Linked DNA regions of Daphnia pulex. The protein of the gene in region 1 purifies or fractionates together with the protein of each later gene. This does not show direct contact. Links are inferred from orthologs where the notes say so. Each region holds a gene or a part of one and is shown on either strand. Other genes may lie near its edges.

Evidence for each region. Proteins that work in one complex are often made in the same cells at the same time.
Region 2: the proteins of zinc finger CCCH domain-containing protein 18-like (region 1) and RNA-binding protein with serine-rich domain 1-B-like purify together in Homo sapiens (affinity purification with mass spectrometry; 3 studies listed by BioGRID and IntAct, with this or other methods). This does not show direct contact. The link is inferred for Daphnia pulex from reciprocal best matches to the Homo sapiens genes ZC3H18 and RNPS1.
Region 3: the proteins of zinc finger CCCH domain-containing protein 18-like (region 1) and FACT complex subunit Ssrp1-like purify together in Homo sapiens (affinity purification with mass spectrometry; 3 studies listed by BioGRID and IntAct, with this or other methods). This does not show direct contact. The link is inferred for Daphnia pulex from reciprocal best matches to the Homo sapiens genes ZC3H18 and SSRP1.

The regions. Positions count from the first base shown.
Region 1 is NC_060020.1:4,875,861-4,880,127, forward strand, and holds the start of zinc finger CCCH domain-containing protein 18-like, read left to right. Parts: upstream 1-1,467; 5' UTR 1,468-1,610; coding exon 1,611-2,299; intron 2,300-2,355; coding exon 2,356-2,551; intron 2,552-2,619; coding exon 2,620-2,694; intron 2,695-2,761; coding exon 2,762-2,913; intron 2,914-2,986; coding exon 2,987-3,292; intron 3,293-3,376; coding exon 3,377-3,901; intron 3,902-3,976; coding exon 3,977-4,267. Other genes in the region: trehalase-like, read right to left, coding at 1-17, 93-238, 398-738, 804-886.
Region 2 is NC_060025.1:2,683,832-2,689,493, reverse strand, and holds RNA-binding protein with serine-rich domain 1-B-like, read left to right. Parts: upstream 1-2,682; 5' UTR 2,683-2,764; coding exon 2,765-2,766; intron 2,767-2,867; coding exon 2,868-3,017; intron 3,018-3,073; coding exon 3,074-3,232; intron 3,233-3,299; coding exon 3,300-3,664; intron 3,665-3,724; coding exon 3,725-3,860; intron 3,861-3,924; coding exon 3,925-4,084; 3' UTR 4,085-4,298; downstream 4,299-5,662. Other genes in the region: dehydrogenase/reductase SDR family protein 7-like, read left to right, coding at 76-142, 441-1,019, 1,079-1,163, 1,227-1,587; transmembrane protein 11, mitochondrial-like, read right to left, coding at 1,676-1,849, 1,911-2,023, 2,090-2,310, 2,392-2,414. UniProt on the Homo sapiens protein: Part of pre- and post-splicing multiprotein mRNP complexes. Auxiliary component of the splicing-dependent multiprotein exon junction complex (EJC) deposited at splice junction on mRNAs.
Region 3 is NC_060026.1:11,628,188-11,634,584, reverse strand, and holds FACT complex subunit Ssrp1-like, read left to right. Parts: upstream 1-2,733; 5' UTR 2,734-2,901; coding exon 2,902-2,952; intron 2,953-3,024; coding exon 3,025-3,210; intron 3,211-3,277; coding exon 3,278-3,493; intron 3,494-3,560; coding exon 3,561-3,736; intron 3,737-3,793; coding exon 3,794-3,929; intron 3,930-4,005; coding exon 4,006-4,109; intron 4,110-4,171; coding exon 4,172-4,300; intron 4,301-4,373; coding exon 4,374-4,481; intron 4,482-4,544; coding exon 4,545-4,728; intron 4,729-4,788; coding exon 4,789-4,894; intron 4,895-4,946; coding exon 4,947-5,248; intron 5,249-5,318; coding exon 5,319-5,918; 3' UTR 5,919-6,020; downstream 6,021-6,397. Other genes in the region: matrix metalloproteinase-2-like, read right to left, coding at 1-25, 135-290, 384-707; coiled-coil domain-containing protein 25-like, read right to left, coding at 1,416-1,497, 1,565-1,767, 1,825-2,004, 2,075-2,166, 2,229-2,301. UniProt on the Homo sapiens protein: Component of the FACT complex, a general chromatin factor that acts to reorganize nucleosomes. The FACT complex is involved in multiple processes that require DNA as a template such as mRNA elongation, DNA replication and DNA repair.

The DNA of each region.
Region 1 (4,267 bases):
TCTAACATTCCTCTGACCTAAATACATTTCAGTTTAAAATTCGTTCTTTAGCCCATTCATGTCAGAAATATTTAAAATGTTTTTATACATACTGTTTGATTCATTTGAGAGATAAGAAGACCTTTTACGATCCAATAAGAATCCCAGTAATAGGATTCTCTGAATCTTCCACCGGGAACAATAAATGGATTCGGAACATATACAATGGAGTATAAATCAGGATTATCACGAACGTCGTCTAGAATTACAACACAGAGCCCATAGTCCAAGCAGTGAAAGAGAGAACACCAGCAAAGAATAGAAATTTAAAATATGATTCTCTTATCTGGCGGAAAGAAAACTGGACTGCAATTTAAGGAAATCAATAAAACCATAATGTTTCTTTTTAGACCATCACCTTTTATCTGTCGCCCGAGAGATTTCCATCCTTCATGAAGACGATTCCCCCAATTGCGGAACTCTGAATTATTAATTTGAGATAGAAATGGAGGATCACTGATCCAGTCCGATGGATCCCAATTCTGGAATTCCAATCCTTCAGCTTCAAAATTGCTGTCAACAAATGCCTGTAATTCTTCTTTGGTTGGCTGGTTTTCAGTGTCGGTCATGAACTGTGAGAAACTAGTTAAGACTATTTCTGGATTAAAACGCAATTTTTTATCCACAAAAGTTTTGGAATCTTTGTATAACTCCGCGTTTTGGACAGCATGCAGCAGGGGTCCATAGCAATAAATTTCGCTAAAATTAAAACGTAATTCTGGTAATTAAGCAATTTCATTGTTAGATTACAGAAATTTTCTTGCCTGGGGCAGGGTGGTGGCAGTTGAAAAGTTGAAGTTGAAAAGGTCCAAGCAATTATTGCTAAAACGGTAATTAATCGAGACATTCAATAATATGAATTTTAAATGTTTTGCTTAAAAAAGAATGTAAAATGTTTGAGAGAGGTTAAGCATGGAGCTAAACATGCAATGGGCCAATGACTAAACGAAAACGAATCAAGTGACTAAACGAAAATTATGTTTCGTAATCAAAAGGCTACGATAGATCAAAAACTTATCAGTCTTGTTTTTGTCAATATTTTCAGGTCAGATAACTCTACGATTGATTGAACATTGGAAGTTTTGAACCCGTCCACCGAAACTTAAAAAATAAATGATAACTCATGTTGACGAAAGCAGAAAACTCTTTCGTTGAGTATTGACTCAACTTAAATGGCTAATGATAAAAGCGCAAATCCGCTATCCGCATGATTTCAAACCTTTCTTTTGTGCGCGCACAATTGTTTCAGCGTTGCCAAAAATAAAAAAATTTAGTACCTTATTATTTTCCAGTTTCAACTCTTTGAGTGAACCAAATCTAAAAAAAATAGTTAAAAAAATTTAAATACTTTCAAATAGTTTGCGTCTGACTATAGAATAGATGATAAATGTATTGAAATGTTCAAAATTTAATTGGCATCATATATTATAAACAGCCGACAAAAAACGGGGCTGTCATGGCGGCTTAGTTGCAAGCCAGGTTGTTTGGATTTTTGGTAGTTTTTCCCAGTTTGTTGGCTAAAGTTAGTAATTGATGGTTACCACTGTTGTTTAACGTATATTAGTAAAAGAATGAGTCAAAGCGGTTTAAGTGCTCCAGCAAGCCCGGATCCTGACTTGTCTGGAACCAGTTCAAGCATAATCGAAGGACAGTTGTATACGAATTCGCGTCCGGAAAGCCGAAGCAGCATTAGCAGCAACTCCATGGTTGATCAGGACCAAGCCGCTGAATCCAGTCGTCTGAGTTCAAACGTAGATGAAATTGATAGAAAATCTGATAGTGGAGAAGTGATTGGGCTTGATGAAAATGCCCAATCAGGTGGCTTGCTGGATGAACATAAACAAGAGTTAATGGCTTCAGATTCAAGCAAAGAAGATGAGGATAGTCTTGAAATGGTATCAGATGATGAAATGGAAGCTAACGAAAACTGCAAAGATTCATCTAGTAAAAAATCTCCTCAAATTTTGGATCCATTGATTAAAGACACTGAATTAGACTTTGAAGAAGATAATCTTGAAGAAGAGCCCAAAAAGCCGATTGAAGACAGAAAGCCTGAAAAAGATGACGAAGATGGAGAATGTGATGGAGAGAAGCCACAGAGAGAAAAGGAAGCAAGTGAAGAAGAACTAGAGGAAGGTGAAGAGTTGGAAGAAGGTGAAGTTAGCAGCGAAGAAGATGTTGGCAAACATGCACGCATGGAACCTAGGCCTGTTTGTAGATTTTACAGTAAAGGCAATTGTACTTGGGGTAATAATTGCAGGTAAGAACTAGTATTTTTCTTTTTTTGAAAGAAAAAGTATTGATATTGTTTTACAGATTTGTTCATCCTGGAGTATTAGACAAGGGAAATTACAATATGTTTGCTCCTGCACGTCCATCTGCCCATAACGGGCCTTCAGCACCCTACGAAAGACCTTTTGATCGACCACCGGTGGTTCCACTCATCCCGCCAGCAGAGTGGGCAAATTCTCAGCCAAGGGTCGCTAATCCTCGACCTCCACGACATCCACAGGTACACGGTTACTTACTTTCAGCTAAGTCAATTTTCGTTATTTGAGAAACTTCATTTCTGAATTGTAGCCGGCCGAGCCACCTCGGACTGATGCAACCGGTGCTGAATCACCTTGGGAAAGAGGACTGAGACAAGCCAAAGAGGTATGAGACAATGCCGTGATTATTTAAGTTTATTGCTATGGGTTCATAATAAACGTTTTCTTTACAGATGCTCAAAAAGTCCAGTCATCGTAAAGAAACTGACATTGACTTCGAAGAAAAAAAACTAAATTTAGGTTTAGGTGAGGAAGAATTGGACAAAGAGAATGACTACTACACTCGACCTGCTAGTCCAGTTTTACATGGAGACGTCCCTCCTCCGTAAGTTAAATCGCACTGCATTAAAATCTGTTTAAGAGTTAAATAGGATCTGTTAATTTTTTTACTCCTCTAGATTTGAAGAGCCAGATACAGAACCATACCATAAATTTTTACCTCCATCAGCTGAAGGGCGATGGCCTCCGTCACGCTACCCGCCTCCTCACCGCCACCCCCCACCTGGTTACCCTTATCCGTACGAAGGCCGGCGACCTTACCCACCAGAATCAGAGTATAGAGAAAGGGAATACTATCATCCGGAAGGATATGAGCGTCCGCACTACTACGGTCCAAAACCAAGTGAACGAGATATCCATCCATCTGCCAGTAAATCCCAACCTCAACTTCCTCCCCCTCACGAAAAAAGATGGTCTGATGAGAGGTCAGTTTTAATTGATGCAATGTGACTGCGTCTGTAGAACCAAAACAAAATCCTTTATTGAACCTTTTAAATTGTTCAATATAGATACGTGGAAGTTGTGCCTCCAGCTCAGCGTGGACGTAGTGATGAATGGTGGGATCCGTGGATGAGATCAAGATCTCCTGGTGGTGCTGGAGGCGGAGGTGCTGCTGGTGGTGGTCCATCTTCAAGTGCAGTCGTTGGCGCCGGAGGAAATTCGGCTGGAGCTAAAGGTTCTAGACGACGTAGCTATTCGTCTGGGTCATCTTTTTCAACATCGTCGTCGACATCGAGCTCAAGTTCGAGTTCATACTCGAGCTCAAGCAGTCGTTCCAGTCGTTCCAGTGCTAGCTCACGTTCCACTTCAAAATCTAAATCAATGAATGTAAAACGACGGCAAGGACGGAAGGCAAAAGTCGGAGACCAGCGGGTTAAAGGGAACCATAAGACCGTCTCTTCACTTCCTGTTGCCAAACATAAAACATCTTCATCCGCTCCCATCCCGTTATCGCCCCCGCACCCCCAATCCTCACGGAAGCCCACAGATAAGCAGCGGAACATCCATGAGAGGTCACCTCAAGTTCGAAATAGGTAAATAAATAGCTTACATTGCTAGGCATATGTCAGTTCAATGTGACGTTTTGCATATTGTCGTGGTACACATAGGGACTGGTCAAGTTCTTCGTCCCGTTCACGTTCCAGATCTCTTTCCAAGATGCGCCCTGCGACTAAGAACAATAGCTCTGCCCCTCCCACGAAAGCCCATGGAGGACGAGCTCGTGCCTCCTCCGGTTCGTCCAGTTCTAGTGAATGGGAGTCATCTCCACATTCAAATGACATCGGACGACCCCGTCGACCATCGAACCGTGGCCGACGAGACTTTGCCGAACGTAAAGAGCTACGAGGTGTAAACCCTCCACCAGCGTCATCTCATCCATCAACTAAAGGAAAAGCTGT
Region 2 (5,662 bases), on another chromosome or scaffold:
AATCGCCTTTTTTCAACGTTAAAAAAATGCATTTAAGAGTTTTGCCTAAAACTACTAATTACAAAACAATAGATTATGAAAACTTCGTCTGTGGGAAAAGCCTCCGAAACGACCACCACTACAGATGGCAATATACCACTGGGTAAGTGTCATTAACTTTTAATATCAGGCAAAACTATTAAGAGCAAGTTGTCAGCCACTAAATGTGCTCAATGACAGTTCTTACATGCAGTGTTATTAGTTACTAATTAGTTTATTCACACTTCACTTTCCGTGTCAAAAACCAATTGACAGTTCTTTTCCTGTCACTTAATGATTGCAAATTTAGCAACTATTATTTGAAACAAAACTTCTGTGAATGAATAATAATTAAGAAATAACTTATTTGTGTTGTTGTGAAGTAACTTAAATGTGTTATTTTTTTCTTGTTTTTATTTTAGGTTCATTAGAGTCACCCAGCAAAACTGGACCTGATGCACAGATTCTGAGGCTGCCATTTAAAGGCAATCTATTGCTGAATTGGGCCAAAAAATGGTTGAATTGTATTGCCTGTTTGCTTTTCTTACCATTAACAATAATAGGAAGATTGGTTGAAGCATTTTTCGCTATAAAGCAAAGAATTTCGAGACATGATTCCAGTCTCGAAGGTAAAGTTGTTCTCATCACGGGTGCCAGCTCTGGTCTCGGCGAAGCCCTGGCAAAGTGCTTGTACACAGAAGGATGCAAGTTGATTATCGCGTCCAGGCGATACACTGAACTTGATCGTGTGAAAGAACAGTTACTGGGTTCTGGCTTGAGAAAAGGCACCATCTATCCACCTGTAATCATTGAACTAGATCTTCAAGACCTAAACAATTTAGCGGACAAAGTAAGAACTATTCTCGGGGTCTACGGATATGTCGATATACTTGTGAACAACGCTGGAATCAGTTACAGAGGAGAAGTAACTGATACTTCCCTGGAAGTGGATGCCAAAGTAATGAACATTAACTACTTCGGAACAATTGGATTGACTAAAGGTAAATACCGTCAAATGTGATCTTTTAAAAATCGGGTTTCTGATTTAATTGTAACTTAGCTATTCTTCCTTCAATGATAATACGACAAAGTGGCCATATCGTGATGATTGGATCACTTCAATCAAAACTGGCAATTCCGTTTCGGTAAGTTTTATCATGTTTTTGAATACATTAATATTTAATTTTTATCGTCTATGTCGATTCCAGATCGGCCTATGCTGCTTCCAAACATGCACTTCAGGCATTTAGCGACAGTCTGCGAGCGGAAATCCATCGTCACAAGATTGATGTGACAGTCATTAACCCCGGATACATCCGCACAAGTTTGTCTCTGAACGCGCTGACGGGCCGAGGAGACAAATATGGACAGACGGATGAAACTACGGAGTCGGGAGCGGATCCACTCCAAGCTGCATATGAAATTGTCATTGCAATTAAGGAAAAAACCCAAGAGCTGATGCTCTGCTCACTCTTTTATCGTTTAGCAGTATTTCTTCGTGCAATTCTACCCAACGTTTATTTCAAACTTATGGCGCGTCGAGCGGCCAAGAGCAAAAAAAGTCGTTAATTTCTAGTAGAGAATCTCTAATACATTCTGATATAATAAGGATGTATTGTTCAGTTTGTACATTTGGGAAGTTTTCTTTATAACAAGACTACTTGAAGGCAATAAAGTACAGCTTCCAAAGGGTAATGCTAGCTGCTGTAACACAGATGGTGCAATGAAGAGTCTTCCGTTTGTTATCATCTCTTCTTACGAGAACTATGGGACTGGAAGTGGTCAACCTATTAACTGGTAATTTGGCCAGTCTTTTTGTATCCATTTCAACCTGAAGCAAAACCGATATCTGCTATGACCTTTGCCAACTTAGTCAAGTGTATGTATTCTACCTGGTATTTACAGCAAGGATCAAATTGCCAAGATGCTGTGTACAGTCCTGTACACAGCAAGGAAAGGAGACCTAATGGAGTGTATATGTATGGACGATTATCACAGAAAAATCCTAAACAGGAAATTTAACAAAATTAGACTTATATAATGCAACAACTGAATACTAGCAACAATTTACCTGTTATGACCGAACCAAGTCCAGCAAGTACTGCTGTCTTGTGAAGACAATTTCCAACGGCGATCCATCGCGCCGTTTCATCGCCTAGTCGAACTGGCTCAATGACAATTACTGGAACAGCAGCTTCCAGAGCTCGTTCTAGTTCTAGCTCAAATCTTTCCTGGGCGTTTTCACCGTCATAGATTTCTCTTACGACCGCTATTTCCGCCGAATGTGGCCCGCTAAAATTTGAAACAGCATCATAATATTATTGTGACGACCGGAAGCTTATAATATTTTTAAACAGTCATGCAAGGGATTACCTGCTCTTTCTCCTGTCTGCCATTTCTTTTGCCACTTGGCCAGTGTTTTCAAGTGGTTGCTATACGTACTGACGGCCTTGTAGAGTTTCGGCAACAGCCCAAAAACAATCATTGCCGAAACATTTTTTCGTTGCCGTCGGCTGTCGTACAACTAGTTTAACATTTTAATAATAAAAAATTAAATAATCTTTGATTTAATCTTTAAAAAATTCACATAACTTGTTCCAATTAAAAAACTATAACTTTACATTCATAAAAATAAAAACGAGAATCTATTTAATACAGGCAACGTTGTGCAAGTGGCATTAAGCGTCTGTTTTTAACGCTCCTCCCCTTTATCAACTCGTATGTTTTTCAATAAAACTTTCTGAAAATGTGAGTAAATCGAGTTAAATCCTCAGCATCATTTAATAATTTAGTAAATTTTTACGATGAATCTAAATTAACAATATTTTAAATTTGTGTAAATCACTTAGGCCGGACAAAGAAACTGGCGATCGAAAAGACCGGAAAGCCGGCGAAGATTCCAGTAAATCAAAAGATGCTAGCAAAGACAAAAAGGATACCAAAGATTCTGGGAAGAAAAAAGGCAGAGCTTCAAGCAGTGATAGTTCTTCAAGCAGAAGGTAGTGTTAAACTTTGTTGTGTTTAATGAAACCTTCAGCTTAATGTGACATTTCAGTTCTAGATCGTCCAGCAGCAGCAGTAGCAGCAGCTCTAGTTCACGATCATCCAGCAGTTCTTCTTCAGACTCTAGATCATCATCTAGTTCATCTAGCTCTTCTGATTCATCAGGTTCCTCACGTTCCAGCGGTTCATTAAAGAAGCACCAGAAAAAGAGGTAATTATTCTAGTTGGATGACGGTAAACAAGTTTCTTGTGATAACAGCATTTTTGTTGACGTACAGAGCCCCAGCGAGTGATAAGCCAAAAGTTGATAGCAAACCTGATGAAGAGAAAACAAAACTGGATGGAGAAAAGAATGTTGACAAAGACAGAAACAAAGAAAACAAACGATCCCGCTCTACATCTCCCCGGAGGCGTCGTCGCGATCGTTCACCTACACCCAAGCCACTTCGAATCCACATCGGCCGACTGACGCGCAATGTCAACAAGGAACACATTAACGAAATTTTCTCCGTTTACGGAACCATCAAAGCTGTCGAGTTTCCCAACGAACGTGCTGGGTTAAGTCACCTCCACCGGGGCTTTGCTTACATCGAGTTCAGTACTGCCGACGAAGCAGAAAATGCAATGAAGCATATGGACGGAGGTAAAGTAACGTTTGTTGGTTACTGCTATAAATACGTTTTTAATCTCAAATAATCTCTAGGCCAAATTGATGGACAAGAAATCACAGCCGCCCCTGTGCTGATCCCTAAAAACCGTCCACCACCACCTCGACGGAATTCACCACCCAGAAATCGACCGGGCCGTTGGGGCATGGGTGGTGGTCGATCTCCACCAAGGTAATATACTACTAAAGTAAATCTTTATTCCGGTTATTTGCATCTGTTGTGTTCATTTCTACAGATTCCGAAGACGTTCTCCCCTACGTCGACGATCTCCTCCACGAAGGGACAGAGATAGGAGACCACCTCCACCTGCCCGTTCCAGGTCTCGTTCACCCAATCGCCGTTCAGGTGGCAACAATCGCCGTTACAGTCGCAGTTCATCATCTTCTTCGCGTTAAATAAGACAATCATGATTTATTTAACGTTGAAGAACGTCCACTCTTTTTTTTTTATCAACTCAACTTTGTGCTCGTGATTCAGATTTTGCTTTCGCCCGAGCTGTTGCTGATGAGTCAATAGCGTAAATGCCACACGTATTCCGTAAATTTTCCCTTTTTCGATGGAATCCTGCAAGACGATACAATATCACCTGACAATGGCATTTGTCCTTCAGTTGTTTCTACTACATTTCTTTTTCATTTGAAATGAAAAGTCTTATTATTATTTTATCTATCAATTTAAAAAGTTACCCAACCGCAAGTTTATGTTGCCATCTGACGTTTTCCAGTAATCCGAGTAGTAATGCTTTCTTTTTAAAGTCAATGGCTGCTGGAGGAGAAACCGGATAAGCCTTAAAAAAAAACTAGTTGGATCTGTTTGTTGGAAACTCAATAGAAGTGTGTGTAGCGGGACATGACAAGTCAGAACACTTTCATTCCGGTTTACAAGTGACATGTGAAAGGCGGGAGATACGGTTTCGCCTCGGTGTTATAAACACAAAGAAAGGAACAGCAAATTTTTATCAGGGGGAGGGTAGAAATTTCTCACAACCGGAATGTAGCTGTTTCTAACTGCTTTTTTCCTCCTATGAAAAAGTCGATTTGGTAAATTGTGTTGTCTTCCTACATCCGGCAACGGCGCGCCCAACAGTTGGAACAAATTTGTTTGCACAGCTGTACTCAATTACGGAAGTCTGTTTGGTTCTTATTATCCTCTTAGCAGTCAGCGAATCGCATTGGAAATGTTTTTGAGAATATTTTGTTTGTTTTTTTTTTCTTCGACCACAATCTCTTCCACGGCTGAATCAACTTGCACCTCGATCCCCAACCGGTTAAATCGTAGACATGAGCATCACGATAATTGTAATTTAATGGACTTTCAAGGCGGGATAAGTAACGCGGCTGAAATTATTTCGCCTAAGGTCAAAACTTGTTTAAGAGTTAAAAGAGTTTAGTCAGAACAAAATATCAATCTTTTATTATTTTCGTCCGGAACGGAAAAAAGTTCTCACGACCGTAACAAAGACGACATGCCCCTCTAATTTTTGTTTGTACTTTGTAAACTATCCGTGTAGTTGCACTGAAGTATAATAGGCCCGTACTATACTTATCTGCTGGTCCCGTTGAGAATAGAAATAAGAGCTTCCCTACCATAAACATGTTGTCCATAGAATAGAGCCCGTTAATGATGTTATTGATACGGTTTCTCCCTTCCCATCCCTTATTGCGGTTAGTCACTTCGCTTTCACGATCGAGTGGACTGTGGGATTGTCGAACTTTTTGTATACAAACGCCGGATTTCCCCCCCTTCAACACGACGGAGGGAAAAAACAAACAGAAAAAATATGTGAAGAGAAATTTCTGGATTTCAGAATTGGAAAATTTAAACAAAAGACAAATGTAGGACGTTTCTTAAAGGAAGATTCAATCTACAGTTCTGGTCTAATACCATATTTAGTTCCAGGTCCATGATAAAATTTACTAATTCAATACTTTCTAATGAAAATGTTGTAATTACACCACCACGGGGTCCACAGC
Region 3 (6,397 bases), on another chromosome or scaffold:
TACCGCAACGAGGAGTCACCAGCAGCTTTATTACGTTAATGATAGGTTCAGATTACAATGTTACCAAATTTTCGTTAAGCGGAAAATGAACGGGAAACAAGTTCACGAACGGTTTCAGAGGGCAACAAATTTACTTGTAAGGTGTCGTTGTCCATCCTTCCAGTTGGCGAGAGACCCCCGAAACTCTGCATGGTTCTGATTGCATCAATCACGGCTTCTTCTCTGTACAAGGCTTCCGAGTTGGAATCCTGGCGGCCTTCTAGGTAACCAAATTTTTGCAGAAACCCCATCTTACCAAAAAATGAAAGGATTAAGATTAAATACGAACTTTAAATTTTTCGATTGTTTTGTTGGTTACATAATAAAACGAACGGGACACTTACAACTACGTTTACAGTCGCTCCTTCAACATTTCTTGGGGATGCAACGTTATGATTTTCCGTGGGTGAAACGTTCCGAATCGATTCCGGAGAGGACAAGTTTTGAGGATGGATTGACGCTGATGGTTTGGTGCTCACGGACAGGGATGAAAGCGGAGGCTGGGCGGTGGTGACGACGGCTGGAGCAGCTGCTTTTAGGCTAGAAGACTGGGGAATTTTTCTAGTGGCGTTAATTGGTTTAGAAAGTACTGGGGCGCAGTCAGAGCCCATAGAACACATCAGCCAAAACATCAGCAGAGACTTGAACGTTAACACGGAATTCGGCATTGCGCTCTACTCTAGTCGAGACGGAGTGGACGAAAGCACTCAGCATACACGACGGTATCCACTTGAAGACTGAATTCCGTCTCGAACGTTTTAAACTTGATGTCTCGGTTTCACTTTTGAGGTCAACTACCCGTCCAACAGATTCTGACGTCGCAGTAGGAAGGAAATAAATGTGAGAGGAAATCCGTATTCCTTAGAGATCCTGGTTTCGCTTCCGACTAATAAAATTAAATAAAAATTTCTGTTTGATTTCCTGAATGAAAACCAGAAGTCTTGGTTTACACCCATTTTCTTCCGCTTTCAGACGGAAGTTGCCAATCTTTTTGGGGGTGAGAATCACTTCCTGTGTTGCGCGACTCTGGTGCTCAGTGTGGTTTCGAAACAATATTTCAGTGGTAAACAATAACTATCGATGGGCATTTGATGACTTAGAGAGATCTGCTCGTCATCATAACCTTTGGCTAATGTAAACAAAATGTCAAGATCTGAAAATTGGTCATCTGGAATTAATCATAGCTATACTTATAATCTCCCTATATTAAAATATATTAAGAAATTATGTTTTATTTCCACATTTTTATTGACCAAGAGAAAACTCGAGTCAAGTGCGAGGAATATTTTAATAGCACATATACTTCATACGAAAAGGCTGATCGGTTTGTGATCGAGTTCGCATACACTCGGCTGGTTGTTAACGTAAGCGATTTCTTACATGAAGTCATCGGAATCGTTTCCATCATCATCTTTATTGGTCTTCATGTTCGTTTGCTTCAGCAAGCGATCGTAGCTCCTAAACATGTAAAAATTAACATTTCTGTGTAAAAAAATAAATATAGTGTTTAGTAAATCAAGGTCACCTTAGTTCAGCTTCATCCTTTTTTCGCTTTTCTTCTTCTCTCTCCCTTTCTTTTTGTTCTTTAAGGAGCCTTTTCTTGTCGTCTCTTTCTGCACAGTCTCTCTGTTCTCTTTCAAACCTTAAATCAGGTTTTTTCTCAACTTTGGTTTTGTTGAGACGGTTTACAATTTCATTAATTCTTTTCTCCACCCTAATCTTGCGAACCTATAAAACTTGATTGTTAGATAATGGATAGGAACACATTAAGAAGGAAATCTGTACATCTTTTTCTTTGTGAAATCCAACTTGTCCAACTTCCATACCAGGAGTCTTTTTCAAATTAGACCACAGGGTGTAAACAACATCAATGTTGTTCATTTTATTCCCTTGGATGCTGTTCGCTTTACATAATTGTGCTGCATCTTCTAAAATGGCTGCTGGAATATCATCAATTACTTGACCCTACAAATAAGAATAGTAACAGAGCTGTATTAAAAATTGTTTTATTTGATTTAATAAAAAAAACCCTTACCTTGTTTAGTCGTATGTAAACATGGGCTGACGATAGCTTGTCAACGTGGAACCAAACATCTTCAGGCCATCCCCACTTGATCAACTCCTCATCTAGTTGTTACTACAAGGATTAATAATCCCATTTTATATCTTACTGATTGATTACTTCTTACTTTCATGTTTTTCTTCTCCCATGAAAAGTGCGCAACTGGGTTGAACGGCGGTGCTGACGAAATAGAAAACCATTTTAAATCTTAAAAATATAGTCAACTAATTTGAGAGGGCCAGCGAGAAAACATTCAGATCCAAATTCCAATTTTTTAACACGTGGATATACTATTTTCTACAATAGTAAATGCAACTTGACAATCCGCCTTGCGGCTGACAGTACTTCGGATAACACTAGAAGAATACGGTCGATCCCTCTTGACCACTTTTTGATCTTTTGATCATGTAAAGCTCTAGAAAATCTATGGTAGTGAGTGCCATCTGGAGTCTCAACATTGTAGAATCCACATTCCACAATCCTGAAATCCTATCCAATCCAATCAACGAAAAATCCTCTTCCCCAGTTTAAATTTCTACTTAAAAATAATTTTTCTATTAAACTATGATTTATTTCAAATGTTCAAATACGGTATCAAATATCTTTAAAATCTAGCGTTGCCCAAACGAGTTTCACTGGCAACGCTTTATGGCCATTCCTTATACTTCTCCGCTCGGCGCGAAGTAAAATAACCGACTGCTGGTGTTTTACATTGTTACGATTATTCTCTTGCTTTCCAGCTCGTCTAGTTGGATTTTTATTCATTTCGCCAATCGGGATTACAATTTTTTCGTTGTGTGATGGATTTTTTAGAGTTCTCTGATGTTTCAGCTGAAATTAAAGGCTCAATGGTAAGAGGCTCGCTAAATTGTCATATCGGCTGCACGTGAATCTTCTTCTATTGACAAAATTTTTTCTTCTAGACTCCAGGCCGTCTAAAACTAACGGATCAGAGTATCGTGTTCAAGAATTCCAAAACGGGTAAAGTTGAACAGATAAGTTCTTCTGACATTGAATTGGTTAACTGGCAGCGACTAGCTGGTGCTTGGGGACTACGTGTATTTCTCAGAACCGGAGCACTTCATCGCTATGGTGGATTTAAAGATTCAGTAAGTAATTTTTTAACATTTGAAAGCTTTTTTATTTTCAATTTCCTATTAATTTGGTTTTGTCTAGGATCAAGACAAGCTGGCAAAGTTTTTTACTCAAACCTACAAAAAAGACATGCTGGAGAAAGAGCTGAGTGTCAAAGGATGGAATTGGGGCCGTGCTGAGTTCAGTGGTTCAACTATGTCTTTTGAAGTTGGAAACCATACTGCCTTTGAGATTCCTCTAAGCAATGTGTCCCAATGCACAACAGGGAAAAATGAAGTCACCTTAGAATTCCATCAGGTGGGTACTATTATGACAAACAATGCTGCAGACATCTTACCTACTGCTTTATTTTCTCTAAAACTAGAATGATGATGCATCAGTCAGTCTGATGGAGATGCGTCTCTTCATTCAGTCCAATGATCAAGGTGGAGATGATGCTGTTGAAGCATTCCAGAAGCAGGTGATGCCTAAAGCAAGTGTCATCAGTGCTACTGGTGATGCAATTGCCATCTTCAGAGAAGTTCAGTGCCTCACACCAAGGTATTTTCTATCATTTGTACTTAAAACATTTGCTCATTTAGTTTTTATCCTTGACAGAGGTCGCTATGACATCAAAGTTTTCCAATCATTCTTTCAACTTCATGGTAAGACATTTGACTACAAGATTCCAGCCTCTACTGTACTTCGCCTGTTTTTACTTCCGCACAAAGATGGTCGGCAAATTTTCTTTGTAGTAAGTTACACATCTCTGAAAAAGAAATTAAGAAAAGAATCATCATTAATCTACATATTTTTATTGTGTAATTCAGGTAAGCCTTGATCCACCTATTAAGCAAGGTCAGACGCGTTACCACTTTTTGGTCCTTCTCTTTAACAAAGATGAGGAGACATCTTTTGAAATACCATTATCAGAGTGAGTAATTTTGAATAATTCAACATTTTCAACACGTCATCAAAAAACGTTTGTCCTAACAGGGAGGAATTGAAAGAAAAGTTTGAAGGCCGACTTTCTCGTGATTGTAATGGTCCAACTTATGAAGTTATGAGTACCGTCATGAAGGCCATGGTTAACCGAAAGGTCACTATACCTGGAAATTTTACTGGGTAAAATTTTATATTTTCATTTCAAGTGTTCTAGACTGATTTCACAGTTTCCTTCTTTTTTAATTATTTATAGCCATTCTGGAACCCCCGCTGTTGGATGTTCCTACAAAGCAGCAGCCGGATACTTGTATCCGCTAGAACGTGGTTTTATTTACGTTCATAAACCTCCTATTCACATTCGGTAGAATTCGTTTCCCTGAAATTTTTGTTTGCATATTTTTTAATTTATTCTTCCTTCGCACAGATTCGAAGAAATTGCAAGTGTTAACTTTGCTCGTGGCGGAGGAAGTACCCGTTCTTTTGACTTCGAAGTTGAGACCAAAAATGGGGTTGTTCACACCTTCAGTAGCATTGAAAAGGAGGAATATAACCGCTTGTACGATTTCGTAAACAACAAGAAGCTCCGCGTCAAAAATACTGGCCGATCCGTAAGATCTAGCAACCCATTGATAGTGTTTGTACTAATCAGTTTTTGTTGTACGTAATAGGACAAGTCCGCTCATGGGGATGATTTTGGCGATTCGGACGAAGAGGAAGCGCCCGACGCATATTTGGCTCGTGTCAAGGCTGAAGGCAAACAGCGTGACGCAGTTGGTACGTTTTCCTTGCTTAACGAAACAAAAGCCTTTCCACTAACATGTGCCAGTTGCAGGTGACGATTCGGGTGGAGATTCTGATGAAAATGACGAAGACTTCAAACCTGGTGAGGAAAGTGACGTAGCAGAAGAATACGACTCCAATGTGGCTACGACCGACTCGGAAGCATCCGACGCATCAGGTGGAGCCAAGGCTAGTAGTGCTGCGAAGGCTAGTAGTGCTGCCAAGGCTGGCAGTGGTTCTGGCAGTGATTCCGATTCCTCGTCCAAAAAGAAGAAAAAGAAGGACAAAAAAGAGGAGAAGGAGAAAAAGGAAAAGGAACCCAAGAAATCCAGTAGCTCGAAATCGGCGGTAATATCATCTTTCAATTTGCCAATAATTTCAGAATTAAAGTTTTTATCGTTTATTAATTTTGTTGTAGGCCCCTAAAACTCCCAGATCGCACAAATCCAAGAAGGATAAGGATGCAAACAGGCCCAAACGACCACAGTCGTCGTACATGCTGTGGTTGAACGACTCACGCGAACAGATTAAAAAAGATAACCCTGGCATAAGTGTCACAGATCTGATGAAAAAAGGTGGCGAAATGTGGCAGAAGGTTGAAGATCGATCTATATGGGAAGCCAAAGCTAAAGTTGCTAAAGAGGCCTATGATAAGGCTATGAAAGAATATACTGCGTCTGGAGGAGGATCGGCAGTTGCTAGCAGTTCTTCCAAAAGCAAGGACAAAGAGGAGAAAGCCGCCAAGTCGTCCAAGTCCTCTAGCAAGTCGTCAACCAAAACGCCAACTAAAACGCCAACCAAAGCTGCTAAAACAACTCCAGTTAAATCTCCTGGCGACTTCAAAAGTAAGGAATACATCAGCACCGACGAAGAATCCTCCTCAGCGTCTGAAGGCGCCAAGAAGAAGTCCAAGGGCTCCAGCAAGAAGACTGACAAGAAAAAGGTTGAAAAAGAAGAAAGCGAGGAAGAAGAAATGGAAAGTGAACCAGAGTCCAGCGATGTGGCTGACAGCGATTGAAGTGGGTGTATCACATTATAGTGTCATAAAAACGTTATTATAAAGGCGTCCGTTGTAGCTGCGTTCTCCGTTATAATACAATGTAATTTCGTTTCTTTATAATCGCCTTTCTCGACTAGTCGACTACATGTGGATGAAATGTTTGAAGACCGAAGTAGAAACTTCCATATTCCCTACATCAAACTAGTTCCCGATCCTTTTAAAAATAAAATGTTGACCACTGAGTAAAGTTAACCAAGCGGACAGATTAAATATAGTCTCGATTGCCACAAAAGTTGAACCATTTCAGTCTAATTTGGTTAAGTTCTCTGAACTGACTACCAAACCTCCGAAAGAGATTTTTTTAGCTAACCCAATACGAAGTTTGGGTCTACGTGATAAACGTATCTATTACGGTAATAGATACGTTAAGTATTACCCAGTATTAAACACAAAACCCCTGAAACATTCTCATCCTCTCGAGATGGTATTCAATTATG